Diceros bicornis minor: one gene and its partners. The protein of the gene in region 3 purifies or fractionates together with the protein of the main gene of each other region. This does not show direct contact. Links are inferred from orthologs where the notes say so. Each region holds a gene or a part of one and is shown on either strand. Other genes may lie near its edges. The genes, in order: SKP2, SIRT2, FOXO1 and ATG7.

Evidence for each region.
Region 1: the proteins of FOXO1 (region 3) and SKP2 purify together in Homo sapiens (affinity purification with western blotting; 4 studies listed by BioGRID). This does not show direct contact. The link is inferred for Diceros bicornis minor from reciprocal best matches to the Homo sapiens genes FOXO1 and SKP2.
Region 2: the proteins of FOXO1 (region 3) and SIRT2 purify together in Homo sapiens (affinity purification with western blotting; 3 studies listed by BioGRID). This does not show direct contact. The link is inferred for Diceros bicornis minor from reciprocal best matches to the Homo sapiens genes FOXO1 and SIRT2.
Region 4: the proteins of FOXO1 (region 3) and ATG7 purify together in Homo sapiens (affinity purification with western blotting; 4 studies listed by BioGRID). This does not show direct contact. The link is inferred for Diceros bicornis minor from reciprocal best matches to the Homo sapiens genes FOXO1 and ATG7.

The regions. Positions count from the first base shown.
Region 1 is NC_080759.1:32,941,694-32,949,650, forward strand, and holds the start of SKP2 (S-phase kinase-associated protein 2), read right to left. Parts: upstream 3,011-7,957; 5' UTR 2,886-3,010; coding exon 2,842-2,885; intron 2,341-2,841; coding exon 2,069-2,340; intron 1-2,068. UniProt on the Homo sapiens protein: Substrate recognition component of a SCF (SKP1-CUL1-F-box protein) E3 ubiquitin-protein ligase complex which mediates the ubiquitination and subsequent proteasomal degradation of target proteins involved in cell cycle progression, signal transduction and transcription.
Region 2 is NC_080773.1:13,005,585-13,012,510, forward strand, and holds the start of SIRT2 (NAD-dependent protein deacetylase sirtuin-2), read right to left. Parts: upstream 3,010-6,926; 5' UTR 2,951-3,009; coding exon 2,935-2,950; intron 2,100-2,934; coding exon 2,053-2,099; intron 1-2,052. Other genes in the region: NFKBIB (NF-kappa-B inhibitor beta), read left to right, coding at 3,388-3,566. UniProt on the Homo sapiens protein: NAD-dependent protein deacetylase, which deacetylates internal lysines on histone and alpha-tubulin as well as many other proteins such as key transcription factors.
Region 3 is NC_080748.1:24,852,843-24,859,997, forward strand, and holds the start of FOXO1 (forkhead box protein O1), read right to left. Parts: upstream 3,022-7,155; 5' UTR 2,635-3,021; coding exon 1,987-2,634; intron 1-1,986. UniProt on the Homo sapiens protein: Transcription factor that is the main target of insulin signaling and regulates metabolic homeostasis in response to oxidative stress.
Region 4 is NC_080741.1:83,968,150-83,975,407, reverse strand, and holds the start of ATG7 (ubiquitin-like modifier-activating enzyme ATG7), read right to left. Parts: upstream 3,021-7,258; 5' UTR 2,999-3,020; intron 2,955-2,998; exon of another isoform or gene 909-2,954; intron 1-908. UniProt on the Homo sapiens protein: E1-like activating enzyme involved in the 2 ubiquitin-like systems required for cytoplasm to vacuole transport (Cvt) and autophagy.

The DNA of each region.
Region 1 (7,957 bases), on a different chromosome or scaffold from region 3:
CGTATTGAGTGTTATGTGCCAGGCAGCACGCTAAGAGCTTTACGTGTGCTCTGTCATCTAATCTTCACAGCAGCCCATGAAGTGAGTATTATCACTCCATTTCACAAAGAAACTAAGGCACACAGAACTCAAATAACTTGCCAATGTTGATAAACAGCAGAATAGTGATTCAAACCCAGATTTGTCTGAATTCACCACAATCCTTCGCTGCCTTTTTAATTAACCAACTCCTGATGCAGATTCCCAGACCATAACTTGAAGGTTCTTTTTCCTAATGAAAAGGTCAAAAACCAAAAAAACCCCAGATTTTTTTAAAGCAAAGCAAGCAACCAACCAACCAATCAACGCTTCTGCAAAAGAAGCCAAATGGGAAGAATTTAGGAATATACTTATTTATGTTGGATCTGCAAGACTTCATCTTTATTTCTTTAATCTCTTTTTCTCCATTGCCCACCCAATTTCAGTTTAGACTTATCACCTCTACTCAGACACTTTCAATAGCCTCCTAATTCTGTTGACTCTAATGTCAGAATCTATCCAGAATCTGACCAGTTTATCACCAAGCCCATACCTCTTAACAAGTCTCTAAACTTCTACCTTCAACCCTCTACATTTTAATCTCAACACATGAATGTGTCCTTTTAAAAGGTCACATCACAACTCTGCTCACCACCACCTCTAGCCTGATCTCCCACTACTCTCCCTTCCCTCCCTCCACTCTGGGAGTATGGCTTGCCTGTTGTTCCTTCAACAAACATGACACGCTTCTGCCCCAGGGTCTTTGCACTGGCTGGTCCCTCTGCTTGCTGCTCTCTTCTCCAAGGTATTTGCATAGCACAGTCCCTCACCTCCTTTATGCCTGTGCTTAAAGCTCACTGTCTAAGTGAAGCTTTCCTTCAATACCCTGCTCAAAATTGCAATCCATCTTCCCACTCTAGTCCTTCCAATCTCTCTTGGCTTGTTCTATTTTTGTTTTTAGCTATAGCACTTATCACCTTCTAACATACTACCTACCATATTTATTATGTTTATTGTGTCCTCTCTCTAGAACAGAAGCTGCACGAGCATAGGAATGTTTATGTTTTGCTCACTGCTGTATCCCCAGCACCTAGAACAATGCCTAGCACATAGCATGTTGTCAGCAAATATTTGCTGAATTAGTGTTTTAAATGACTTACTAGCAAGAAAAACTGATAACCCCAGGTCAATGCACTATGTTTACCCTATGACTGAGTACTCTTGGGGTTCTCTGGGAGACACTCTGGGAGGCACTCTCTCACCTGCCGAGAAGACTGGGAATGGGGAGCTATTAAGAGGGGAATGATATAGTGAGTTCTACATTTCAACCAGTCCACTCTAACTCTGGGGATGGATCTGGGGAGGATAAGGCTAGAATTCTGAGTCCATTCCAATAGTTCAGGCAAGAGATGATGAAAGCTTGAGAATATTTCTGAGACAAGAGGGAAAGATTCAATGATTGGCTGGATGTCAGGGGATGGTGGGAATCTGAGTGACCCTCAGATTGTTGGGTTGGGTTGGGTTTAATGCTGGCAGTAATGGAGACAGGGCATGCCAGAGGAAGCCCATTTGAGAGTGTACTTGGGGAGATAAGTCTCCTCCACTTGTGTTTAACTTTCACTTTAGCAGTTCTTAGACAAATAACTAAAGTGATTATAGCAAAAAGCTCAACCAGGGCTATAGAGCAGCAGAATATAAACAAAAAGAATCCTACAAGAAGATCTTTGCTTATGTTCCCATTTATCAGTGGCACTGAGCTGGCTTTTGAGCAGGCAGATTCCCTTCTAAGGAAAAAGGCAGGAATGTCTTCTCATGGGTTAAAATTTCACATGGATCAAAAGTCAATTGTGCATTAGAAGATATGTTCCTACCAATATTCCTGTAGACTTCAACGACAATGAGTTGTCTCATTTCTTTGGAAAATAGCTTTAGAATTAGGCAATTTTAAAAGGGCCCCATTCTAAAGATCCCTGAACAAATCTCCATTTTGCACAACAAACTAGTTCAACACACCCTTTGGGTGATTGACAGTTTTACCCTCATACATTACCTGGAAAGTTATCTCGATTTAGCTTAGGTCTGCGAACGATCACAAAGTCCTTGTCATTCCCTTTGCTCTTCAGCCGTTTTCGTGGCGGGCTCTGCGGATGACTCAGGTTTGAGAGCAGTTCCTGGGGGATGTTCTCACTATCCACCTCCTCCTTCTCCAGGGCGGAGACCCCCATGCCTGACAGCAGTTCACAAGTCTTGCTAGAATCCCATCCCCACGTGAAACTGGTGGTAACGTTGCTACTCTGGTCGGGAATCTCCTGGAGGTGTTTCCTGCAAAGATGCACAATAGCCACCCCGCTTCTTTCTACAACACACCCGTAAATAATTCCAAGGTAGGCCTAAACGGAATTGCCAGTTACGCATTGTAGAAAACTTTCACAATAGCTAACAGAATTGCATTTTTTACGTGATGGTAGCGAGTTCCCAAGAATGAAAGAGAAAATAACCAAACAAATCGAAAAGGCTCTTTGATTTACGATCATGCAGAAGGCCTCAAGAATTTCTTAAAGTCGAGAGAACAGACAAGGAAAGAAAGAGGGCAATCACACAGTGATTGAAAACAGTAGCAGGGAAGCCCAATAAGGGGAGCCTAATAAAACCGCACGCTGATCACCGCACTAAAGCTTCCATCCATTCGCGCTTTCCCAAAGAAGCGGCTAAGCAATCATTCGCATTGCAGCATTAGTAACAATATTGCAAGTAGCAATATCCGCGGCCTAAATGAATTAAGAAGGTCCATTCATGTTCTGCCCCATTTTGCAATCAGTTTACCTGTGCATGGCGTCTACAGGTTCGGGAGTTTTAAATGCGTGCATTGACTGCAGAGCTGCCCGCCTCCCGGATTCCCGCTTTGGCGCGCGGCGGCTCACAGCGTGCTGCTGCAGCGTGCAGCAGCAAGACCCGCGAACTCTAGCAACGTTCCATCCCCGCCGCGCGCGCAGAGCTCTTCTGCCCGCTCTCCTCCGCAGCCGCCGTCTGCGGCCCCCTGCCTGCTGGGAATTGTAGTTTCTGCCCTGCCCCGTAGTCCGCCTGGCTCGCCACTACTCTCTTTCCTTGCAGCTTTGCCCGCCCTCGCGATACCCACAACCCCCCGCGGCTGAGGGGCTGCAGAGCCCACGGAGTAGGCGGGGAAGCGGAAGTGGGCGGTGCTTCGGCTGACTGAGAAATGTCAGCTGCTTGACTGGGGCCGGGTTTTCCTTTCCCGCGAACCCGCAGGCCTTCTGGTGACCGCCACCGCTGTCGCCTCGGCGCGTGGGTCCCAGACCCTGGACGGCTGTGGCGGACGCGGAGTTTCCTGGGCCTTCCAGACGCTGTCTGGCGAGATCGGACGGTGGGCCTGAGGGAGAGAGCGTGAGGCGCTTTGGGTCTGGGGCCGCGCGCAGACGGACATCGAGAGGACCCTGGAGACCCCGGTTGGCCGCCGCCGCGGGGCCCACGTTCCCGGAAGCTGAGTGGAGGCGGTAGCCCGGCCCACCGGCCAGGTGAGAGGCTGCGAGCCCGGGGCGTCACAGCTGTTCTCCCCTCTCCCAGGAAGCTGCCTCCTCCACGGAGGAGAGGGCGGCCCTTAGGACCGGGTCTGTGGGCAGGATCCTTTGCTCACCTGTAAACTAGGCACTGCAACGACGACGCTCGTCTCCCAGGCTTGGAAAGAGGGGCGGATAAGATAACGCGTTTTGTAAACTAAAGCGCAGTTCGAACGAGAGGCGGTGGTTTAGTTTTAGGGGAGCAGGAGACCATAGTGGCTCCTGTGTGCAGTGGGAAAGCTGCGCATCCCCTGGCAGCCTTGACTAGTCTTATAAGGGCTAGCGTGGGAACAAATCAGGTGACTATATGTTTGCAAAGGGCTTGACAATGCAACGCTGCGAGCCACCAGCAAAGCCATTCGGCTGCGCTTGCTCAACCGGTTGTGTCTGGGGTTGCGTCGCCGCCGTCAAGACAGCTGCTTTTAGCCTATCTCTGCGGAGAAGAGTTGGGGGGCGCTTAGAGTAGGGAGCGTGCCATATTCCAGGTAGGATGACCATGCGAAATCCGTTGTGCAAACTGTACTGTTAACTGTGAACCCGGGAGAACAGTGGAAGAGGGAAGGGGAATAAATTCCGACCCTAAGGAAAATGGAGAGGATTTAAAAAGTTCAGAAGCAAGCAGGCCAGCCTCATCTCAAAAATAGTAGGTCACTATGCTGTGTGACACACTTTATTTAAAGAAGTGATTCTTAGTTGTTTTAAAAAAAGGATTCATTTCTTTAAAAAACATGAATTAAACCTCCTTTGCCCACGTCTGTGCTTGTTTCAAGGTTGGTGCTTAGCTTGAAAAGTAACCACTTCTTAAGAGAGGAAAGTATTCATGAAGCTTCAAGTTGTTCTTGAAAGTAGGTGGAATTGGTGTAAAAAGGGGATCTGGTCACAAAGTGATTTTGGTTGAAACTAGGTAAAGAATACTATGTAGAATGTTCACAAACCATTAAACTAATAGTGTATGGAAAATATTTTTAAATGCAGTATTCTGATTTTTTACATAAAGTCAGTTTTATGTTACTTTGGCTAAGGAGAAAGCAGTGGCCTTCCTTTGAAATCTACATCTTTTCCCTTAAAATTGCAACTCATTAGAGAAAATATATACATATATTTTTTTTGGTGAGGAAGATTGGCCCTGAGCTAACACCTGTTGCCAGTCCTCCTCTTTCTGCTTGAGAAAGATTGGCCCAGACCTAACATCTGTGGCAGTCTGGCTCTATTTTGTATGTGGGTCATGGCCACAGCATGGCTTTCGTGAGTGATGTAGGTCCGCGCCTGGGATCTGAACCCACGAACCCCAGGCCACTGAATTGGAGCTTAACCTGGAACTTAACCACTATGCCATGGGGCCAGCCACTAGAGAAGGTATTTTTAGCAATAAAAGTTATAGTCTCCTTCAGGAAAGTGAACAAGACAGAGGAAGCTTGTAAGTAAGGGAGGAGAAAGAATAAACAAGGAAAAAAGTATTTAAAATGCCATGATGAGAATAAACAAAGTTTTGAGATATAAAGTAATTTGGCAAGGCCACTTTAGATACAGATCTCATAGATAGAAGGTCTAAGAGATGGGATGATTCTAAATTTAAAGATGAGAAGTATCCTGTTCAGTCTGGGACTTAGCTAGTAGTTGCTTGAGAGCTAGGGAACATTTCTAGTTCACAGAATACTTGCAGTATCTGAATTGGTGGACACCAGATCCTCTGTAGGACTTCAGAGAGAGCCTTTCAACTCTGCAAATCGAAGTCTTCTAATACTAGAATAGATATTTGACTAACACTTTGCACTCACAAGAGAAACGCTGTAGCTTGCTAATATGGGCATAATTTTTTTCTGCATTCCTTCTAATCATGGCTGTTCTCCTAATATAGTAAATAAAAGTTTAATTTGGTATATGTGGTTCTGTTTAATGTAAGGAATTGTGTCCATTGAAGACTTGAGATTACTAGGTCACTAGAGATTGCTGCCTGGTCTCTTCAGGAACTGCATCGTGATTGCTACTGATGTGGATTTTTTTTATTTTCCTGATTAATTTCATTTGTTTGATCTTAGCACACCCCATGTCCCATTTTAGTAAAAGAGGTATACCATAGTTCTAGAAGTAGAATTACTAGATCAGTATCTACAACAAATGAATTATAGTTTTTTTTTTTTAATATCTGCAAATGACTGTGGGATGAGTTATTTCTAGTACTCATTGGAAGCTTCAGATAGAATACTAAGTGACTTTGTAAATTGAGAAAGTTATACAAAGGGGCAAAAGCATAGTTACAAGGGCACAGGAGGGGCCAAAAAGGCCTGGAAATGATATTTGACTATAAGCTATAGTCAAATATATATATATGTATATATAAGCCATATATATACAGTAGTATATTAGTGATCTTTTTGAAAATCAGTAAAACAAAAGAGATTCTATTTAAATAGAAGGGTGATGTGCTTTTTCTTTACTTCCTGAATCATAGCATGAAGTAAATCTTAAAATTCTTTTCTTTTTTTTTTTCTGTGTTATTTAGCTTAGGGGAACAAAAGACTAAGAACAATTACATAGCAAGAAGTTTCTATCTGCCAATCAGATTTCAAAAGAGTTATTTTCCCTTGATTAATTTTAAAGTAGACCTTTAGTTCTCTGCAGTTTAGTGCTCTCTCTGATGGACAGATTAGGGCAAGAACAGAAGGGTTCTTCCCCAGTTCTAATTTGCTCTTTTTACTTTTCCCATGTAGATTAGAGTTATATATTACCCTTAGTAATGGCAGTATTACTTGCAAGGTAAAAAGGCTTAGTTAAATTCTATATTAAACATGACTTTCTTAGCATTCTATCTTCATATATCTAAAGGAATAATAGGAGAATTTCTAATTTGTTCACTATGAAAACTGAACAAAAATGATTTAAATAATTTAAATTGCATTAAAAAAGTATGTTTGGACTGGGGAAGAGACCGTGTAGTATCCTAATTGTGAGCCAGGCTCTGTAGTCAGGATGCCTCGGTTTGAATCCCAGCTTTGCCACTCACCATCTGTGGGAACGTGGACAAATTACTTACCCTCTCTGTGCCGTTTTCTCTGCTATTAAACAAGGATACTAACACTCCTTTCTTACTGGGTTGTGAGGTCTAATTCAACAAAGTGTGTTAAGTGCTAGCACAATGGTTGGAATTTAGTAAACTCACGCTAAATGATAGCTATTCCTTTTTAAAAAATTATTTTGTTATTAGGAAGGACTCAGAGTATTCTACAGTTTCCAAAATAAGTCTTACAATGTCTATACCAGAATTCATTACAAATCCGGTTGTTTTCTTCTTACCTGCTTACATGGTTGCTACCTCCTCTCTCATACCTTGGCAAAGGTGAAACAGTTGATATTTGTCTATCTTCCAAATGGCTTATCATGCTTTGGAATTCAGTTCACCTGGTTGGTTTGCCACCTCAGCTTATTTTTTGAAGATAGCTTCAAGAAATATGACTTTTTCCCATTTTTAGAGTGGGAGCAATATTCTCTTCTGGTATTCTGTCTACATCCTAAGCTGAATTCTCTCTATCCCTGGAGTCTTTAAACATAAGAATAATGACTATCTTCGGAAGATTTATATTTTGATTGGTGGTAGAGAATTGTTGACTTTCATCACTCACGTCTAGTTCAGATTCTTTTGATTTTTCATTAGCAGGATCTTGAGTTGTCTCCTAGTTTTTGTTACTTTATGTATCTGAGTAAAGATACATGTTTAAGTTAACATAATCTGAGTCTGATGAATCATTAGGTTTTAGTCAGATAGTCTGACTGACAGTCAAATTTTTCATTCAGTTTCAGGATCTTTGGTTTTAACAAAATTTTTGTGTGTGTTTTCCTGTTCATTTATTATGAATTCTTCCTTCCTTCCTGTCTCTCTTTCCCTCAGGAAACAGTACTCCAAGTCAGTATCATTAACAAGCTAATTATGAAAGGAATTTGAAGGTAATATTGTATAATATATTGATTATTGGTAGAACACTGAATTGGATTTTAAGTGTTTAGGACTTTCAGAACTGGTATTTTGAGAGGTAGACTATGTCCGCATATTAGATGTTAAAATTCGATTGAATGAAAGAATTGGCATTTTGATTTTGAGTAAAATCTACTTTTGCTGCTGTGGTGTTAATGCCAACCCATGACAGCTTTAAGTCTCTTTTTCATTTCTTATCACATGGAACTGAATTTTGATTTGCCTCAAATTTTAGTATATTCTTCTTGTTTTCCATTTAGCCTAAACACATTATTTTAATATTTAAAGAATATTATTAGAAGGACCATTGTTGTGCTCAGAGGCCTATTTCCCCTTTTGCCCTTCAGTAGTTTTTTTGCACAGCTGCACATGGTTACAGTTCAGCATATAATCT
Region 2 (6,926 bases), on a different chromosome or scaffold from region 3:
TAATGTGTCCCCTCCCAGGGCTCCAGCTGGTCTAGCCCGTCCTCTCCCACCAGGGGCCCTAGGCTCTCAGCTTCGGTCTCTCCGGTCTACTCTGCTACCCTCCTCGTGATGGCCTGTCCGGGTCAGCCCGCTCGCCTCCACTGCAAAGACCCTTCCCTTTGGCTTCTCCGGTCTAATCATCTGATCATGAACAGCCAGAGTCTACCACGATATCGGCTCCACGAAGGCAGGGATGTTGCGTGTTCACCCCTGGACGTCCAGCACAAGAACAGGGTCTGGCACCTGGCAGGAGCTCCAGAACTATCCATCACTGAACAAATACCTGCTGTGTGCTGGGCCAGGGCTGGGCCCTGCAACAGACCTCATAAAAACACAATTCTGACCAACTCACTCTCCTGCTTAAACCCCTCCTACAACCCTCTCCCCCATTACTCCCTCTCAGGTTCCAAGCCTTTTAGTATAGGAACCTCCTTTCTAAACATATTTAAATTGTTTTATTGCTTTTTAAGATTATATAAACTTTGCAAAAACTCTGACCATTAGACAATGTATAACTTGGGCACTTGCCTGGTAATTCTCTCACCCACCCCGGCGAGATAACAACTGCTATTAGCAGTACAATCATTACTCCAGATTTTTTCTCTGCATAGAAACCTCACTATTTTTCCAGAAATGGGTCATACCATAGTACGATGCTGCACCCTGCATTTTCCTTGGAACAATACACTATAGACCCACCTCCTTCTTTTAAGCAGCTACAGAGTTGCATTGTAAGGATGCACCATAGTTCATTTCACCCGTCTACTGACAGCCATTCCGGCTGTTTCTAGTTTCGCCCTGTCACAGACAATGCTGCAATTTACATCCTGAATCTCTCTCTTTGGGACTGAGGATTCCTTTTTAACATGCAACCTTTTTCTCTGACAGTAGTCCGGCTTGGGGAGCCAGAGGGAGAAGCCCCGGCCTGATGGAGGCTCTTATACTCTCTTGCAGGCAGCTGTGGGGTGCTCTAGTCACAGCTCTGCTCTGTCCCCCATCTGAACAGCAGCCTCGCGTCTGTGGGTGGGCTGGCACTCTTTCAGGCTGCAGACAGTGAGGCTCTGTGGAAGGACTCGAGGGCCCTGCCCAGCACGTGGGGGCAACTTGGCTTAGGGGGAGCTGGAGGTGCTGGCGGGGCCTTCGAGCCTCTGTGAGGCGGCCTATCTACCTCTCCCCAAAGCATCTGGAAGGCACTGTGTGTGTCAAGTGCTGTGGGTTGCAAACAGAGGACAAGAGGCTTGACAACTCTGCCTCAAATTCCTCATCTATAAAATGGCCACGATAGATCTTGCCACGCACAGGGATGCTGGGAAGATGAAATGCGATGATGCATATAGAACACTAAGCAGAGCACCTGGTTGGAGTAAGTACCCATGAATATAAGTAGCTGACCACCCCAGCCACCGACTACTGAACACATCACCCTCTTTCACGCCCCTCCAGCCTTTGCACAGGCTGGACCCTCTGCGTGGAACATCACTTCTCATCTTGCCTAAGGAAACACTAAGGCACTCTTCACTTACTATGATGTGTCTGTACCTCAGTCTGACTCCTAGACCAGCCTGTGGATTCCTCCAGGGAAGGGACTGGCTGGAATCTCTGTGACCCCACAAAGTTGCCTCTGGGCTCCCACAGTGCCCTGAGCTACTTTCATAATCGCCCTGTAGGGTCATTTTCTAGTCATTTGTCCATGAGATCCATGAGTTCAGGGACCAGATGGGATACGTGTCTCTTCCAGCAATGACACAAATGAGGTTCAGAAAGGTTGGCGGAGGTGGGGAGGTGGGGGAGGGATCTGGGGAGAGGGCCTGGGGTTGAGGCTGCACGACCTTCTCTGACAGTCCCCAGAATCCACCATTCCCCAGGAGGCTGACCGGGGAGGTGGGGTGAGGGATTGGGGCAGCGAGCTGAGGGCCCTGGGATAACTGTCTCCCCTCTGTCACCTCCCCCAGGGGAGTGGGGTGTGGGAACAAGCACATCTCTCTCCTTCCCTCCACCCTTTCCCCATCTCACCTGAGCTTCCTGCACCTTCCCTGCCTGGGTCTCCAGAGGGTCAGAGGCTGGGGGAGGAGGGGGAGTAGATGTGGTTACAGTGGGGGGAATGGTTAGGGGGAATGAAGGGCTTCAAAGTAGGGGAGCAGGGGGCAAGAAGACTCACCAACCTAGTTATACTGGGGTGGGGGCAGTGGTAGTAAAAACGGAGTAGAGGGAGGGAGGGGATGGGGAAAAGCAGATCTTATTTGAGTGGAGAGGGCTGGGGGGAGAGGCGGTTAGTGAGGGACAGAGGCTGGGACGGGAAAGTTTAGGAGAAGGAGGAGAAAGTAAAGCATATAGGGCATGGAGGAAGACAGGAGGAGGTAGGGAGGACATAATAGTATGCGAGTGTGTGCGCGGAGAGGGTCAGGTTTACAGGCAGAGGGAAGTTTAGAAAGTAAGAGAAGATGAGAGATACTCTGACTGGAGGCAGGTTTGGAGAGGAGGCGTGGTGGGAATGGTAGGTTTAGGAGAGGCACAGGAACTAGAGGGAAGAGACAGGAGGGGATATAGGGGTCCCCTAGCTTCCTACAGCTCCCTCCATCAACCAGATACCCTTAGCAACCGGGACCGCGGCAACCTAAGTCCTTAGAAACGAAGGTCCTTAGCGACCAAGGTGCGAGAAACACGCAATCATGGGTAACTTGGGGGACGTGGCAAACGGACCCTTAAAACCTCGCGACCCAGAAACCCACCGACCTAGCAATACGGATCACTTAGCAACGGCCCGCCGAGTCCCACTCGCCCCCCTACGCAGCCCCTATCTGCTGCCCCATCAAGCCCACCCTCGGGCCCCGGGGCCTGCAGCCCTCAGCCAGGCCCCGGCGCGGCCCGACCCTCCCACCGGGGCCCCCGACTCACGGTCCGGCTCGGCCATGGACGCGGGGCGGGAGCCCTAGGAGCTGTCACCGACTGCTCTGTCCCGTGACGGCACCGGAAACAGGAGGGACAGACATAGGGCAGAGAACTACAACTCCCAGCAGCCATCGCGGCCGCAAACAAGCTTTCGCAGCCTCTCAGGTAATGAAGACTCCCGAGGGCCAGACTACGAGTTCCAGAGTGCCCCGCGCCAGCAGCCATGTTGGTAAAGGGCGCCCGGAAAATGTGGGAATGGGTAGAGAGCCGCAGTCCATCTGAATACTCTGATTGGTCACAGTGTGGTACGGGGGTGGGGCATGTGCTATTTAGCCCACGCTGATTGGGTGAGTCAGGGGGCGGGTTGGGGAATTCCCCGCAGGGCGGAAGCGCCAGACATCCAGGCAAAGCCCAGCGACGGGCGGGCGGCCGCTGGGGGCCCCTGAGGCTTCGGGGGCCATGGCCGGGGTCGCGTGCTTGGGGAAAGCCTCGGACGCCGACGAATGGTGCGACAGCGGCCTGGGCTCTCTGGGTCCGGATGCGGCGGCCCCCGGAGGACCGGGGCTGGGCGCGGAGCTGGGCCCAGGGCTGTCGTGGGCGCCCCTCGTCTTCGGATACGTCACTGAGGATGGGGACACGTGAGTGAACCTTAGGTTGCCTAACCGGGCCCTAGGATCCGACATCTGATTCCCTGTTAGTTTCTGATCCCGGCTTCCCAACCTCTCATCCTAAATCTGACTTCTGATGCTTGACTTCCTGATCTCTAACCCCCAAGTCCTAACCTTTAATAAGACCAATTTCCTCTCCAGCTTTGATCCTAATCCAATAATTTCTGACCGTTCTTTCTTGAACTCAGGTTCTCAGATTTCCACATCCCTATCCATTGATCTCAAAAGTCAATTTAACCTTCCTGACCCCAGTCCGGAGACCTTTGTTAGAACTGTAGCTAAGGCAGGCCCTTCCTGACCTCTAATCTCCAAATATGATCGTTGATCCTTAGCTCTTGATTTATGAGCCTTTTTCTTTGATTTCCCAATTAATACTTGGCCTTTGACTCTAAGATCCCACCTTCTGAGCACTAGTTTTCAAATCTTACATTCAAAGAGAAAATATAGGCTCTGTGACAGCAGGGATTCATCTGTTAAACAAATATTTATCAAACGCTGCCATGTTCTAGGCCCTGTTTGAGGTGCTGGTAATAAGGCAAGAGAAGAAAACAGACAAAAACATATGCCCTGTGGAGCATACATTCTAGTGGAGGTATGTGGACAGCCAGACAGACTGACAGACAGACAAGAAGGAAGGGAGGAAAAAGAAAGAGAGAGAGAAAGAGAGAGAGAGAAGAAAAGAAAGAGAAAGAAAGGGAGAGAGAGAGAAAGAGAGAATGAAAGGGAGACAGAAGGAAAGACAGACAGACAAGACATGGAGGAAGGCACAAAGAAAGAAAGAGAAAAGAAGCGAAAGACGGGAAGAAACTAAGACAGAAAGAAATGAAAGAAGAAAAAGAGAGAAAAGTGGTATGTTAGAAAGCAGTAAGTTCTTTGGACAAAAATAAAGCGGGAAAATGAGACAAGTAGATTGTCTGGGGAGAAGAGCAGTCCAGGGAGAAGGAACAACAGTTGTAAAAGCCGAGGGGGGGTTGTCCCTGGGTTTGTGTGTTGTGTTTTCTCCTGTCTCCCCATAGGAGCACTCAGTAAACATTGATCTTCTCAAAGAACCAGCTTTGGTTTCATTACTTTTCTCTATTTTTTTTTTCTTTCTATTTCATTGATCTCTGTTCTGACTTGCATTATTTCCTTTCTTCTGCTTACTTTGGGTTTAATTTGTTCTTCTCTTCCTAGTTTCTTAAGGTGGAAACTGAGGTTGTTGATTTGAGACCTTTCTTCTTTTCTAATCAAGGTGTCGTGTGCTGTAAATTTCCCTGAGTACTGCTTTAGCACTATCTCACAAGTTCTGATATGTGTGTTTTTCTTTTCTTTTTTTTTTTTTTTTTTGTGAGGATATCAGCCCTGTGCTAACATCTGCCAATCCTCCTTTTTTTTTTGCTGAGGAAGACTGGCCCTGGGCCAACATCCGTGCCCATCTTCCTCCACTTTTTATGTGGGACACCGCCACAGCATGGCTTGCCAAGCAGTGCGTCAGTGTGCGCCCGGGATCCGAACCAGCACACCCCAGGCCGCCGCTGCGGAGCCCACGCACTTAACCACTTGCGCCACTGGGCAGGCCCCTGTGTGTCTTTATTTTCATTTCAATTCATTTAATTCAGTATAATTTCTAATTTCTTTTTGAGTTCTTCTTCGGCCGGTGGATTATTTAGAAGCATGTTATTTAGTTTCCAGATATCTGGGAGTCTTTCTAAATATCTTTCTTTTATTGATTTTTAATTTAGTTCCATTGTGGATGAGAACATACTTTGTATGACTTGAATCCTTTTAAATTTATTGAGACTTGTTTTATGGCTCAGAATGTTGTGTGTACACTTCAAAAGAAAGTGTATTCTGCTATTGGTAGTGTAGTGTTCTTTACATGTCAGTTAGAGGTTGTGTTGGTTATAGCATTGTTCAAGTCTATATCCTTGCTGTTGAGTTTGTCTCTTTGTTATATCAGTTGTTGAGAGAGAGGTATTGAAATCTGAAACAATAATTGTGGATTTGTCTATTTCTCCTTTTTGCTCCATGTAATTTGATGCTCTGTTATTAGAGGCACAAATGTTTAGGATTATTATGTCCTCTTGATTAATTGATTTCTTTATCATTATGATATAACCTTCTCTATCCCTGCTAATATTCCTTGCTCTGAAATCTACTTTGTCTGATCAGAAAATACTCCTGCTTTCTTTTGAGTGACTCGTGTTAGCCTGGTATATCGTTTTCCACCCTTTTATTTTTAACCTTTTTTTTTTTTTTTTTTTTGGTGAGGACGATCAGCCCTGAGCTAACATCCATGCCAATCCTCCTCTTTTTGCTGAGGAAGACTGACCCTGGGCTAACATCTGTGCCCATCTTCCTCCACTTTATATGGGACGCCGCCACAGCATGGCCTGACACGCAGTGCATCGGTGCACGCCCGGGATCCGAACCCTGGCTGCCAGCAGCGGAGCGCATGCATTTAACTGCTACGCCACGGGACCGGCCCCCTTAACCTATTTTTTAATATTTATATTTAAAGAATGTTTCTTGTAGGCAGCATAGAGTTGAGTTTTACTTTTTAAGTCAACCTGACAATTTCTGCCTTTTAATTGGAGTGTTTAGGCCGTTTACATTTAATTTAATTATTGATACGGTTATGTTTAAGTTTATCAGCTTGTTATTAGTTTTATACTTATGTCTTCCTTGTTTCTCTTTTCCTCTTTTTCTGCCTTCTTTGTGAAGGAGTAAATATTGTTCCATTGTATTTCTTTTGTTGGCTTCTCAGCTTTAACTGTTTGTTTTGTTATTTTTAGTGGTTGCTTTGAAAGACAAGGGTTGGCACACTATGGCCTCCAGGCAAAATCCAGCCAGCCACCTGCTTCTGTATGGCCGTGAGCTAAGAAAGGTTTTTACATTTTTAAATGGTTGAAAAAAAATAAAAAGGAGAATATTTTGTGGCAAGTGAAAACTATGTAAAATTCTAACTTCAGACTCCATAAATAAAGTTCATTTGGAATAGAGCCACATTCACTTACATATTGACGATGGCTGCTTTTGCATGACAACAGCAGAGCTGAGTAGGTGCAAGAGAGACCATATGATCCACAAAGTCTAAAATGTTTGCCTGGCCCTTGACAGAAAAAGTTTGCTGACTCCTGCTCTGGGATAGTACAGCTTTAACTTATTATGGGCTACCTTCAAGTGATGTTGTGCCACTTCACCTAGAGTAAAAGAACCTTAGAATAGTATATTTCCATTTGTCCCCTCCTGGCCTTTGTGTATATGTAAAATGTCATACATTTTACTTATACATATGTTATAAACTCCACCATATGTTGTTATTATTTTTGCTTAAACAGTCAATTATTT
Region 3 (7,155 bases):
GACTTAAGGCCACTTGAGAGACAAAACTAAAAATAATCCCCAAACTTTGCCTTTCTCTATCTTTAAAGAAAGGCACTCCAGCAAGCTGAAGTAGGTTGTATCCATTTCCAAGGACGTAAAAGAATGGTGTAAGTACACACTGTACTTTGAATGCCAAAAAAAAAAAAGGATTTTTTCTTTTAACAGCAAATGCTTTATTAACAGTTCAAGTAAGACTGACAGATGAGCAAGTAAGGCAAGCACTTCAATTCAAATGTTAAGTCAAATCGGATCTGGCGGACAATTCTAATTGTGTGACTTAAAAGACTACACACGGAGCTTAAAGTAAGGAGACACTTTACCTGCTGTAACACTTGGAAAATTGCATGTAATGCCTAGTAATGAGTCTGGAAGTGATGCCTTTAGTCTAAAACACACTTTGAAAAAAATAAAATCCCAGCTCCTTCTCCAGGAACTTCAACACAACATGAGTAACTTAACCTTTTGGACACACATTAACCACAGGAATGACAGTGTATGTAAAACAACTTTAGTGTAATAACTGCGCAGCCAAGATCAGTCTTTATTACGCTCTACAGTCAGGACGAAGAGTGAGGGAGGAGTCTGGCTCAACTAGGGAACCTTCACATACATCCCTCCACCTGTGACGGTAAGAAGCTGTCAGCTTCAGGAAGCCGCACCGCAAATGGACCCCCAAGAAGCCTCCCCAGAGCCCGTGCTCCTGGGGCCCCGGGGCCTTCTCTACCTCGGGGTAGGGATGTGCCTGTCCTCACGGTGAGTCTCTCCTGGTCTCTCTCTGAAACGCGAAGAGCCAGAGGCGCCTCATCTAGAGGCCCCCACCGAGGCAGGAGGTCCCTGCCGGTCCCCTTGATGCGCACTTCCACTCCGACTCTCCCCAAACACTTGTCACAAATCCCCCTGCCTTACCCCTCGGATCTGTACCTCCGTGCTCGATAACACTGAGGTGGCAAAACGAGAGAGAAGGTACACACAGCCCCAGCCCTGGTCACGCAGGGGAGCCTGCCGGTGCTTAATTAAAGGCCTCGCACGGTGGGCAAGGCCAAGTCTGGGGGCACTTCCCCGCGCAAAGAAGCGCTGGCCTGGCTGAGCCGCGCACGGCCGGGGCGCGCTGGCCCTTTAACGGCGCTCGCTTCCTGCGCCCCGGCCCCTCCCTCGCCGTCGCCAGCTCCCGCCCACGCCCACGCCGAGAGTCACACTTGAACTTGAGCTCGCCCAGCGCCGCCGGGCGCCGGCGCTGCGCAGGCTGTGGCCGCCCCTTCGCACGGGTCGGACGGGGTACCTCGGGCTCTGCGCGCCCGGCCCCCTGCACTCCAGCTCACTTCGGATAAAATCAAAACAAAGCAAAATGCACACCAAAACTGCGCGACCAGCCCTACGGGCCGGCTGGCGCCCTGCCTGTCCCCTCCACCTGCAGCCCCGTCCCCAGCGGCGAGGCTCCGATGCCCTTCGCCGCGCGCTCCCCCGCCCGGCGCGGCGGAAACGACTCCCGGCGAGGCCCACGGCCGAGGAGACGAGGGGACGCGCGCCCCGGGGACGAAGGAGCCGCCCTCACCCCGAGGTCCTGGAGGAAAAGGCGCACCGGCAGGAGTCCGCGCGGGCCGTGGGGGCGCAGCTCCCAGTGAACCCCCTTCTCCTTCCCCTGGCGAACTTTTCTGCCCGTTCTGATGTCCACTTCTTGGCGTGGTTTTTTTACTCTTAGTTCCCACATGAGCCCCTTCCCGCTCCAACTCGCACGGGAGCGAGCGTGCGCACACACTTATTCCTGTCCCCCGACGGGTCCGGGCAAGCCCACCACCCACATCGGCCACTTCTCGCCCGCTCCCTGCACGCGCTGCCCGCGTGCGCCGCTCTTTGAGATCAAGCAAACTTGCACAGCCACCCCTCGGCTGCCCCACCGCGACCTCGGCCAGAGCCAAGGGTCCCGCACGTCCCCCCGGTCTGGCCGTCCGCCCCGAGGCCACTCACCTTCCAGCCCGCCGAGCTGTTGCTGTCGCCCTTATCTTTGAAATAGGGCACGCTCTTGACCATCCACTCGTAAATCTGCGACAGCGTGAGCCGCTTCTCGGCCGAACTCTCGATGGCCTTGGTGATGAGGTCGGCATACGACAGGTTGCCCCACGCGTTGCGGCGGGACGAGCTGCTCTTGCGCGCCTGCCCCGCGAGCGGCCCGGCGGCGGCGGGGGGCACTGGTGGGTGCTGCGACAGCGGCCCGGGTGGCGGGGGCTGCGGCGGCGCCGGGTGCAGGCAGCCTGCCTCCGGGCCCTGGAAGTCCCCGCACAGTCCCCCGGTGGCGGCAGCCGCCGCCGCCGCCGCCGCCACCGCTGCCGCCGCCGCCGCCGCCGCCACGGAGCCGGGCGCCTGCTGGAAGTCCCCGCTGTCCTCCAGCAGGCTCAGGTTGCTCATGAAGTCGGCGTTGACAGCGGCGGCCGAGGCCGACGGCAGGCCCGCGGCGGCGTCGGGGTTCGCGGCCGCGCCGCCCGACGGCGCCGGGCTGGATGTGGCCGAGTTGGACTGGCTAAACTCCGGCCTGGGCAGTGGCCAGGTGCACGAGCGCGGCCGAGGCAGCGGCTCGAAGTCCGGGTCGATCTCCACCACCTGGGGCGCTTCGGCCATGGTGACCCCCGCCCCTCCCCCAGCCGCGGGAGAGCCAAGAAGGGGTAGAGCGCAGCCCCGGGGGCCAAGGGGAGGGGGCGCGAAGAGCCGGTCCAAGATTTGGGGGGGCGAGGTCGGTGCCGCGAGCGGACGGAAACCGGGAGGAAGGCGCAGCAGAGTGGAAGCGCGAGCCCAGAACTTAACTTCGCGGGTCCATCAAAATCGAGGATCCTTCAGGTCCGCTTCACAGACGGGACAGCAGGCCAGAGTCGCCAGGCCGGGCAGCAGCGGCGCCGCGCTCCTGCTGACAGGTCCCACGAACGGAAGGACGAACAGACGCCACGGGCCGCTAGCTCTCTCCGGCGGCACGACCGCCGCGCTGCTGCCTGTTGAATGTGGCGGCGGCGGCTGCGGCTGCAGCGACTACGCGGCGGGCGGCTTACGGGATCTGCCGCCGCCCCCCGCCCGCGGCGGCGCGCGCGCCGGCCCGCCCCTGACTGACAGCTCTTGCGGCCAATTAGCGCGTGGCACCGCGGCCCGAGCAGCCAATGGACGACCACCTGGGCGGGGGCCTGTTTTCCACCAGGAGGCGGCAGTGGGTTGGTGGGGGGTAGTGGGGTGTTTTTCTCTTTCACGCTCTCTCTCTCTTTTTTTTTTTCGGATCTCTGTTATTATTTTCTGGTAATTCTCAAGTGTTTCTGTGAGTCTCTCGCCCTCTCACTGTTTTGATCGCTAGGAGGCAAACCAGCGTGGAGGCGGTGGCGACACTTTGTTTACTACGGAAGAGCAAAGCCGAGTACTCGGGGAGCCCGAGTGGAATGAGTCGCTGGCGTCGCCTCGACCTCCGCTTGGGCGCAGAGCGGGCTGGGGCGGGGGCCGGGGTCGCTCTGGGCTCCGGGGGCGCTGGGTGGGCGGACGGAGGCGGCCTCGCGGAATTCTTCTCAATTACCCCATGTCGGCTCCACCCACGATTTCTTTGCGGAGAAACGTGGGGAAGTCGAGGGGTTTGTTTTTGTTTTTTGTTTTCTTTCTCTGCGATCTGTCAAGTCCTCCGGCCCCCGCGCGGGCCGCACACGCCCCCGGCGCCGGGGCCCTGGCGGTCAAGTCCGCCGGGAGGGCGCCCTGCCCGCCGCCTCCGCGCCCGGAACCCACCTGTCCGCACCCCCGAGCCGAGCCTCTGCCGCTTGCTCTAGCCCGGGGCCAGTCTTCCAGCCCAGCAGCCCCCAGCCGGGTTCACTGTCTTCTTGACCTAAAAGGCTAGAAATGAGGTAAAGGGGCTCGGCGCGAAGAAGACAGTCCTATTTCACAGGCGCACACAGACCCAAAGGCATCCTAGACCTCATGCTGTCTGTGGGAACCTCTTCTCCTGGGCGGGAACCGCAGACTGTCCCCGCGTCAGTCCAGGGGCGGCGGGGAAGGGGTTAGAGGAGAGCATTTAGCGAGAACCTTGTCACTTTATTACTTACCAATACTTAAGTTTAACTGTTTGCTTGTAATTTCTTTGCTATTTAGAAATGATGAGGTGTTGAGAAGTAAAAACTCTAGAGGAGACTGGACCGAAGCCTTGGGAGGCAGCCCTGCCCCACCCCCAAGTTCCTTTAGGCTGCTCGCCGCGTGCGTCAATCAACCCCCACCCCCACCCCACCTTTCCCCATCTGGGCTCCAGCTCCAGGACGTCCTGTCGAGATCAGTGGGGCCAAAGGTAGACAGACAATGGCCCTTGTGTCTCAGGGAGTAGAAGAAACGGTTTTCAAGTTTTGTTTTGTTTTGCTTTTGCATTTTTAGGAGGAATATGGAAGGCATTTCCTGTCAGAGGGATGGGATCACTTAGGATGGAAGATTGACAGTAGGGTTGCAAATATCTTGTCCAAAATGACAGCTCCCAATTCTAAAAAAATCCCCTCTCTTTCTTATAGGTAATTCTTCCATTGAAAAAGTGGCATCTAAAGAAAATAGGCCTCTTGTACAAAAGTTTGAAAAGACTTCGAGATTTATTTCTTCCTTTACATTCTTACTATCATTGCCTTAGTCCAGACCCCTAATTCTTCATAATCCACTTATCACAACAGCTTCCTACTGATATTGGGGATGTGTGGGGTGGGGGTCGTGAGCCCGATGGATTGAGGATAGGGCTGGTTCCCACCCTCCTCCTCTTGTGGTCTCTTTGCGTTTACTATCACATTTGGACAGATCGGGCCTCCTCTTCCAGCCGCTAGAGGACCTCAGTAACCCAGATGATGAGCTCAAAGGAAGGCCGTAACGTAGAAGTGTTGCTACCCTCAACCTTTCCAATTACGCTCTGCAGAGGCGGTCCGGATTCAGACGGCCGCACCCTTCAAATAGGCGGTGCCCTAGTGGATCATTCCTGGCAAGGGAAGCCAGCTGCAAATTTGGCTTGCCTTCATTTCAATTCCGGTTTTTCAGGGCCTCAATCTGCGGAGAGTATTGGTTAAGGGATTATTCTTACAGACTTTCCCCAGATCCTTAAAATCTTCTGGGCTATCCTGCCTAATTGTCTCTTTAAATATCATAGTTTGCTTTGCTTTTTTTTTTTTTTTATTTGACTTGAAGCAGGCATAGAGTATCTACAGTGCCCATGTCCCTGACACATAGTTCAAAAAAGAATTAAAAATATATGTTAAAGGGGGTTTATAACTGCTTACCATACCGTTGTATGTATCAATTTACTGAACCGCAGGGTGCTAGTGAACATTTGGCTTCTTTCCAGTCTCTGGCTATCACAAACTATTCTGTAATGAGTAACCTTCTGAAAAACTCATTTTGCATCTGTGCAAGTATCTCTATAGGAGGAATTTCCGGAAGAGAGATCACTGGGTCAGCAAGTTAAACGCATTTGTAATTTTGAGAGACACTGCCAAATCGCCCTCCATAAGGGTTGTGTCAAGCTAAACTTTCTTCTCACCTAGACCCACAGAATGTTCAAGTCGAAAGTGAACTTGGGGGCCGGCCCCCTGGCTTAGTGGTTAAGTGCGGGAGCTCCGCTACTGGCAGCCCGGGTTTGGATCCCGGGAGCGCACCGATGCACCGCTTGTCTGGCCATGCTGGGGTGGCGTCCCACATACAGCGACTAGAAGGATGTGCAACTATGACATATGACTATCTACTGGGGCTTTGGGGAGAAAAAGGGAAAAAAGGGAGGAGAATTGGCAATAGATGTTAGCTCAGGGCCGGTCTTCCTCAGGGAAAAAAAAGAAAGGAGGATTGGCATGGATGTTAGCTCAGGGCTGAACTTCCTCACAAAAAAAAAAAAAAAAAGAAAGTGAACTTGGAGATCACCTTGATGGCCCCCTTTAATTTACAGAGACGGACATTGAGGCACAGAAAGGCTAACTGATTTGCCCAAAGTCACACAAATAAGAGTGGTGGTGCCAAGGCTAGAGCTCTGATTTCTTGCTTTCCCATCAATAATCTTCTCAATACACAGATGGAAAATTATAAATACTCTGTAATGCCAATATAGCAATAACCACTATAAAACTTTGTGGTGTTTTTCTCTCTAGTCAATCCCACAGATTTTATTAAATTTAGTTAGATGAACTGCATTGAACTGAGTGAAGTTTTGATTCAAAAGACTTTAGGGGCCGGCCCAGTGGCGTAGTGGTTAAGTTCATGCACTCTGCTTCAGCAGCCCAGGGTTCGCAGGTTCGGACCCCAGGCGCAGACCTACACACCGCTCATCAAGCCATGCTATGGCAGTGTCCCACATACAAAATAGAGGAAAATGGGCACAGATGTCAGCTCAGGGCTAATCTTCCTCAGCAAAAAGAAGATTGGCAACAGATCTTAGCTCAGGGGCCAAGCTTCCTCACAAGCAAAAAAAGATTTTAAAAAACAGACACAAAAAGATGATAGTGATAGTAAGATAAGTAAAGGAAAAAGACTACAAAAGAAGTGGTTTTGTTTTTTTTAGTCAAAAATGTAAACATCTTCTCTCTCTCTGAAGGATGCCAAAGTATTTAGGTTGGCACTAGTTCTGTTTAAGAGAAAAAGTTTATTTCTTTTCTTCTTCAGTATTTTTTGTGGTAGCTGTTTGCTTTGAAGGCTTTTTCTCATGATTATCACTTATTAGTTAGTGCATGTGGCCAAACTAGGAAGAAAAATGTTTCATGTCAGGTAAAGACAATTAAAATGAAAAAGGCAATTTATCCTCACAAAGCCCATCTCACAAACCAATGTGGTTTTCTTTCCTCTGCCTGGTTTTCAGGGTAATTATGGCGTCATCATTGACAGGAAGACTGAGGGATGGTTCCCTTTGATCAATTCCCAGGCAGAAACTTCTGCATTTACCCCTCACCACCAACACACTGATCTCTGGTTTAAATTCTTGTCCAAATAGGTAATTTAAGTCCAATTCAATGAGTAAGTGAAAAGCCTGGATTCTTATTTTTCAGTCATGACACTTAATACTTTGCATTCCCTTTCCCCAATAACTGCCCATTTCCAATATTTTGTCTGAATTATTAGGAGGTACTGCTATCAACCTAAAATAGCCTTTCTTCAGTTTGCTCACAGACAATAATA
Region 4 (7,258 bases), on a different chromosome or scaffold from region 3:
GGAGACAGAAAGAGGAGAGGAGGAAGCCATTAGTGAACTTGGGTAAATTGGACTTCCAAATAAAATCTCACAGGTGGTCAGGCATAACCAACCAGGGACCACTAAGCGAAGAACTTGGTTATTACTTATTTCCACAGAGGATTCATCCCCTCCCCCCGCCTCAATATCCTGATTCCTGGCTCCCTCCTCTCCTTGCCATCCAATCAGTTACCAGTCCAGTAAATCCTTCTTCCTTTATCTCTCAACTCCACCCACCCCTCCCCATCCCCACAGCCACTGCCTTGGTTCAGGCCTCTCTCCCATGTGACCTGGACCACTGCAACAGCGCCCTGACTGGTCTCCCTGCTGGTCCTGCCCTATTCAGTGTAATCACCACATTGCTGCCTGGGTAATTTAAAACAGATGAGAGGATGTCACACCCCTGTTCAAAATTCTTCAGTGCCCCACTCTCCAGCCCTGTGCTTTCAAAATAAACTCCAAATTTCTTAGCATGGCAATACTAACTGCTACAGTTTAGAGTTTACCATCTACCAGTGCCAAGTGGGTAAGAGATATCATCTCATTCAATTCTCACAGCAACCTTGGGAGGTAGGCTATATTTCCCTTTTACAGATGAGTAAATAGAAGCTTAGAAAGGAAGCGACTTGCCCAAGGTCACAAAACTAGTTCAGCAGCAAAACCAGTGTTGATACACAGGTATCTTAGATTCCAAAGTCTGTGTTCTTAACATGCAACTGCCCACAAGGCCCTTCGTGATCTGGCTCCTGCTTACCTTTCCAGCCACCCTTATCCTACACTCCACTCTAACTCGGGGCAACTACCTGCAGGTCACGCATTCTCACCCACAGCCATTTGCTTGCACCCCTCCCAATGTCTGCAAAATCATCCCACCTCCCATCCCTCTTCACCTGATTAATCCTGCTCATCCTTTAGGACTTGGATAAAGCAACATCTCCTCACAGAAGCCTTCTCTGATGCCTCAGCCTGACTTAGCCTGAGCATGCTAAGTCCTTCTCCAGCAAACTTCAACAACAGCTTCATACCATAGTGCTGTTGTCTACCTCCTTGACTTAAAAAAAAGTAAACTCCTTGAGGACATGGATGTGTATCTTACTCACTTTCATGTTTCCACTTGCAGAGCAGTGCCAGGCACAGAGCAAAAGCTCAATAAATATTTATGCTTATTCTCTATTACGAGAAGCTGGCTGGGAAGAAAAAAGGGACCTTGTGGTTGAATGCAAGCCCAGTTCTCAGCTCTTTAAAGGGTTTCTAAACCATGTCACATGAGGGGCAGGGAGGAGCTGGCCAAGAAAAGAGGGGGAAGGGAGATGTTCTAGGCAGCAGAAACAAAGGACTGTAGGTGAGACACAGCCTGTAGGCAGTTTAACAAGACTAGAGCACAGAGGTGGGGGATGGGGGAACAATTAGGCAAGATGAGCCTTCACAAGTATGGCTTTTTCTTCATTCCGGTGTTAGATCAAACGTCACCTCCTCAGAGAAGTCATCCCTGATCAGCTAGCTTTAAAAAGAGCTCCCTCTGCTTCCCCTCAGTTACTCTCCACGCTGTTACCATTTCTTTTTTTCGTAGCATCCATCAGGATCTGAAACACCTGCCAACCATTAAAAGTATCGTATTTATTGACAATCACAACAGTCGCCACCACTACCATCAAAAGTAGGGTCCATGAAACAGGGCTGTTTTTTTGCCTTATTTTACCACTACATCACTGGTGCTTACAATAATGCCCGGCACATAACAGGCACTCAAATATTTGCTTTATTCACTCATTCAGCAAATATTTACTGAGCATATATAATATGTCAGGCACTGTTCTATACGCCAGGGATACAACTACAAATAAAACAAGTCAAAATTCTCAGTTATGTGGAGTTTACTGTGGCTAAATAAATTAAATATGCTTAGCCTGGAAAAGAAAAGGTGGGAAGAGGAAGACAAACTAGCAGCTTTCAAAGATGTGCGGGGCAATTCCGTGAAGGGAGAGCCCAAGAGCCTGAAAGAGGGACAACCAGCTGAGATCACTAGGGAACCGCTTTCAGCTCTGCATACGACTTGTTATGAGTCAGAGCTGGGGGCAGACCAAACAGGAGTAAGGCCAAAAGTAGTGAGCTTTCTGTCACTGAAGAAATTTAACCAGCGAGCGGGGGTGCCACAAAAGAAATCCAAGTATTCAGTGGGAAAGGGAGCCTGGGATCCAGAGGCCCCAAACTGGCAGCCACAGATACGCCTGGTTACAGGCGCAATTTAAAAAAATGTTTTCTATCACTTGCCAATGCTTTTTAAAAAATCATTAGTCATTAGTGTTTAAAAATCAAGGGATTGCACGTGCCCGCACGCACACACACACACTGAAGTTCTGGGTTCATTTCTTCAATATGTTAGTATTGCGCTCATAAAACTCAATTCAGTAAAAATAAGTTTGACTGACATAAAATTTTCTTACACCCACATTTACCTAACCTGACTGATCAAGCATTCAAGTCTGTAGCATCCGGACCAAACCAAGAAATCGAGCACCTTGGATCAGAAAAGCCCTTCGAGCTGCCTTAACTGAACCTCCTCGCCTCACCAATGACGTGTTATCACTCCCACATCACAGATGAGGGAAGAGAGGCTCAGCAAGGGGAGGGATGCGCCACAGCCACACAGCAGACCGTGGCAGGCAAAGCCAGGACCAGAACCCAGGCGTCTGTCTCCAGGGCTCCAACAACGGAGATTCGGGGCACTCCCCGCCAGAGACAGGACAGCAGCGTCCTGTCCGAGCACCCCGGCTGAACCAGTCTGAGGGAACGTGACTGGACGAGGGCGAGAGCCGCAGTCAGCGACTCCCTGGAGACAGACAGCCCAGGCACGGGCAGAGGAGGATCCTGAGACCCGCCGCGACCCTCGCCCTCATCGCCGAGCTCGCCTTTTCCCGCCAGGCCTCCAAAAGCCACACCGAAGCAGCCCGCGCCTCCCTCACCGCTGCGGCTCACTTACCGCCGCTCAACTTCCGGCAACCACACAGTCATCCGCAGCGCGCGCCCCGATGACGCAACGCGGCCCCGCCCCCGCCTGCCGGGGCGAGAGGACGGTGCGCGTGCGCACACAGAGCCTCGGGCCAGCCTGGTAAAGGAGCCCCTAGCACCAGGCTGAGGGGGCGGAACTTGAGGCGTGGGGAAGGCGGGACATCAGGAGGTGGGCGAGGACCCCCTGGAGCGAGCCGAGGCACAGAGACTTTCTCCCGTTTATCAGATGTGGGATTGTGTATATGTGCCCGTGAGACTTTTCAAAAAGTGCTCCACGTTCTTTCTTTTGATTTTAGAGGATGACAGGAATTATCATTATTTCCATTTTCCAGGAGAGGCAGTATCAAACGAATCACGGGGACCACGAGGAAGGCAGGTATGGAGACACAGGAGATGAGAATTTTAATAGGTAAAGGTCGATGAAAGTCGACACTGACCGACTTGCTCTTTGTAAACCAGACATTATTCTCATAGCTTCCTGCTGTCAATGAGATAAAGTTATTCATTCTAAATTATTTATTGAGCATATACTCTGTACCAGGCATTGGAGAAGTGTTGATACAATAGTGAGTGTAAACTTAATCTGACATATAAGGCCATTCACAAAGCGCCTCTGACGTAGCTCTATAGACTTACAATAACAAGAGTAATGACTACTATTTATTATCTACAATGTTTTCAGGTTTTCACATCTGTAATCGCCACAAAGGGCCTGCAAGGTAGATGTTATATTATTCCCATTTTACATATGAAAGAGCGGAGACTAGGAAAGGTTAAGGCGCTTGCTGAAGGTTAAAGAGCTTTTGGGCCAGGAGTCTAACAGAAGCCTGTTTGACTTACTGAGGAGATACTTTATTCGAAAGGATTGTTATAAGCAGTGGGGAAGGAGAGGGCGGGGACTATTGCAATGGGTGGGGGAGGGAATCTTGCAATAGGGAGACTCTGACCAAAAGATCTGCAAGTGTCTCCAGGGTTAGGCAAAAAGAGTTTTTCTTCCGTAGGGAAGAGTGAAGGCAAGAAAGAACTCCGGTGGGAAAGTGAGAAGAAAGCGTGGCTTGATTGGACAGTAGTAAATCATAGGATGTTTTACTTTGAGGCCAGCCTGTTCTCAGGAGGGGTGGTATGCCGGCTCCATCTCTGCTACCCTCACCCTTCCTCTGCTTGTGTAACCCTTTCCCCATCTTCAAAATCCAGTTGAAATGTTGATAGAAAAAAGAGTACATATTATATGATTCCACTTATGTAAAGTTCTAGAATCAGCAAAACTAACATAGTGATAGAAGTCAGATCAGTGGTTGCCTGAGGCATAAAGGGAGCATTGTCTGCAAAGGGACATGAGGAACTTTCTGGCGTGATGGAAACGTTCTATATCGTGATTGAGATGGGTATGACATTTGTACACATTTGTCAAAACTCATCAAACTCTATATTTAAAATGAGTGCATTTTACTGTATATATTTAATGTAATAAGTTTGATTTTTAAAAAACCCAGTAGAGGGGTCACCTCCTATGTGAAGGCATGCCTGACACCCACCTACCTCCAGGCTTCACTCTATTAAGGTTATATGAGGCTAGGTTGAAGTTAGTTCTTTTTAACCTTGTTTCCCCTGCTGGACTTCGAGATCCTTAATTTAATACCTTGTGGAGTTTCTGCCGAGCTCACTCTGCCGAGCTCACAAGGATTCCCCCTTCTCTGGGAACTGCTGGTTCTCCTACATGTGCCACCTGGCCTCCCACCTCTCTTCAGAGTTGACTGCAGCAGAAATGGACACAGGATGATTCTTTACCCTGAGCTTTGGACTTGAGAACTGATGCTCATAGAAAATAGGAACAGGAATAATTCATATTGGTCAATGGCAATATTCTATAGGGAACTTCCTCAAATTCTGACCGTTGAGGTTCCTGTGGCTGACTTGGCTCAAGCTCTTCCTGAGGTGAGGTCATCTAAAACGTTATTGGATTTCACAAAACACCCCAGCAGCCATTCACAAAGCTGGTTTCCATCACTTCCAACCCTGAAGTAGCTCCATAGGGTTGAAACCATGTCATCTTGTTCTCCATGGTCTCCTAGTGCCTGGCTCAAGAATTGGCCCAAGAAGTGTTCAAAAAGTATCTGTTAAATTAAGAGATGAGGTCTGGGCAGCCAAAATAGATGGTGACTCAGGTCACAAATGTGGCCTCCTTGTTAGCAGGAATTAGGGAGGCTTGGAGCAGAAGACCTGCCCCTGCTGCCCAGGATGGGGGATACAGACCCTTGGGGCACCAAGATGATGAAGCATCAAGAAAGATGCAAGACCAGGAGCCATAAAAAGGCAGAGAATGTTCTCAGATGCAGCAGGACAATGAGGCCCTTGACACTTATTCAAGACCACAATGATTCAGGTCAACCCACTTTTATCACTTGCCTTGCAGCTCAGTTGAGAGCACAGACTCCCTACAATGGGAACCATATGCCATGCCACCTACGCTTTGAAAGCCCAAGAAATCGTGGAATGACACGTTGGCAAATGAGATCTTAACAGCGTTGTTTCTTTACAGCACTTAGAGTGTGTTGCAGCCAGGAGAGCCCCAGCATCTTTTTCACCCTGTGTTAAGACTATTAAATCTACCTCCTGGAGGGCTCTTCTTCAAAAGAGAGATCAACAATTTTCTGCAAGCCAAGTAGCCAAATGATCACTTCATCAAATGGCCAACCTGCAGACTTGTAGATTTTCTGAATGAACACTTTGCAAATGTCACCAACTTCTAAGGTTTACAACAATTTCTATTGGATGGAATGGCTTCATGAGCTTCTAAAGATTTATGTGATGCAGTAGTTGACTGGTTTTCACGTCGTCTTCAGAGAAGCATTTGAAAGAATTTTCTATTTATCAAAAGCTAAGGATGGTTTATTCTTCCTTTGAATATATTTAACTTATGACTACATTAATGAAAAATATGTTCTTGAATGTAGATTTTTCTTAAGTGTATTAATATTATGCCACTCGGTCTATTATCTTTTTGTCTCTGACTCTCCACTTCTACTTTTCTATCTTCTTTCTCATTCCTCAGTTTCTCCCTATGTCTCCCTCTCAGTGTCTCCCTTTTTCTCTCACTAAATGTCTCCGTCTCTCTGGCTCTTAGTGTCCATCTGCCCCTTAGTATTTCCCCATCTCTGTCCTTGTGCACATCCATTTTGCCCTCTCCCTCTTCTGTCCTTTGGTGACCCCATCTCTTCCTCCTAGTCCATCATCTCTGACCCTCTGTCTCCCCCCACCTCCCCTAGTTTCCTCTTCTTTCTACCCCTTATCCTTCCTTCTCTCATCCTCAGTCTCTTCACCTCTATTTCTCCCCTGTCTACAACTCAGTCTCTCCCTGCAGTAGCAGCAAGCTGGGGACAAAGACAAATTGACCTTCTTCAATATGTGGCTATGAAGAAAAACGAAAATCAGTTGCTATAACTTCACAACAATTGTAGAAAACTGTTCTTAAAAGCCTCATCCAATATGTGTCATTGTAAACCCTGTAAATAGTTAAAAAGATGCCAACATTTGATAAATTTGGCAAATTGGTCATTCGAGGAATTGGCTTTAAGCTAATTAACTTTAAGCCCATAAAAAGAAACTCGAAGGAGCTTCTGAGTCTGCAAGTTCTTATCTACAATCAAGGTTTCTATGACAGCCTTCTCCTAGAAGGTATTTATTTTAATATTTCGGGCAGAGAGCCTGGTTTCAGCTAGATTTTGTGCAAGCCACTGGCCACTGATTCTTTCCTGAATGGGCTGAGGCTGAGTTATTTCCGGACCATGGTCTATTGCCTTTTATAAATTCAAGAATTAATTCAATCAATCATATAGGAGTAGGAAGAGCAGGTAGATACTGTGGAAAAGAAATGTATTCCAGAATCAGATTTTGGAGCCGGTCCTTAACCTCTCTGTGCTTCCATTTGCCTGTTTGTAACAACACAGCAATCTTCCTCATGAGGTTGTTGTAGAGGTTAAATTAGATAATGGTGGTAAAGCACGAAGCCTGGCACATGGTATATGCTCAGTATGTTTGAAAACTACATGTGAGTCCCCACTGTGTACCAGACACTCTGAAAGCACTGTAAACACTGTATACAGTAATGCATGGTCTGAAAGCACTGTAAACACTGTATACAGTAATGCATGGACCTTGTTCTTTATGCTCTGACAATTTATATTGACAGTTTCTTGTTTTTGTCAGACTCAAATCCAGGTCTCTGATCAAA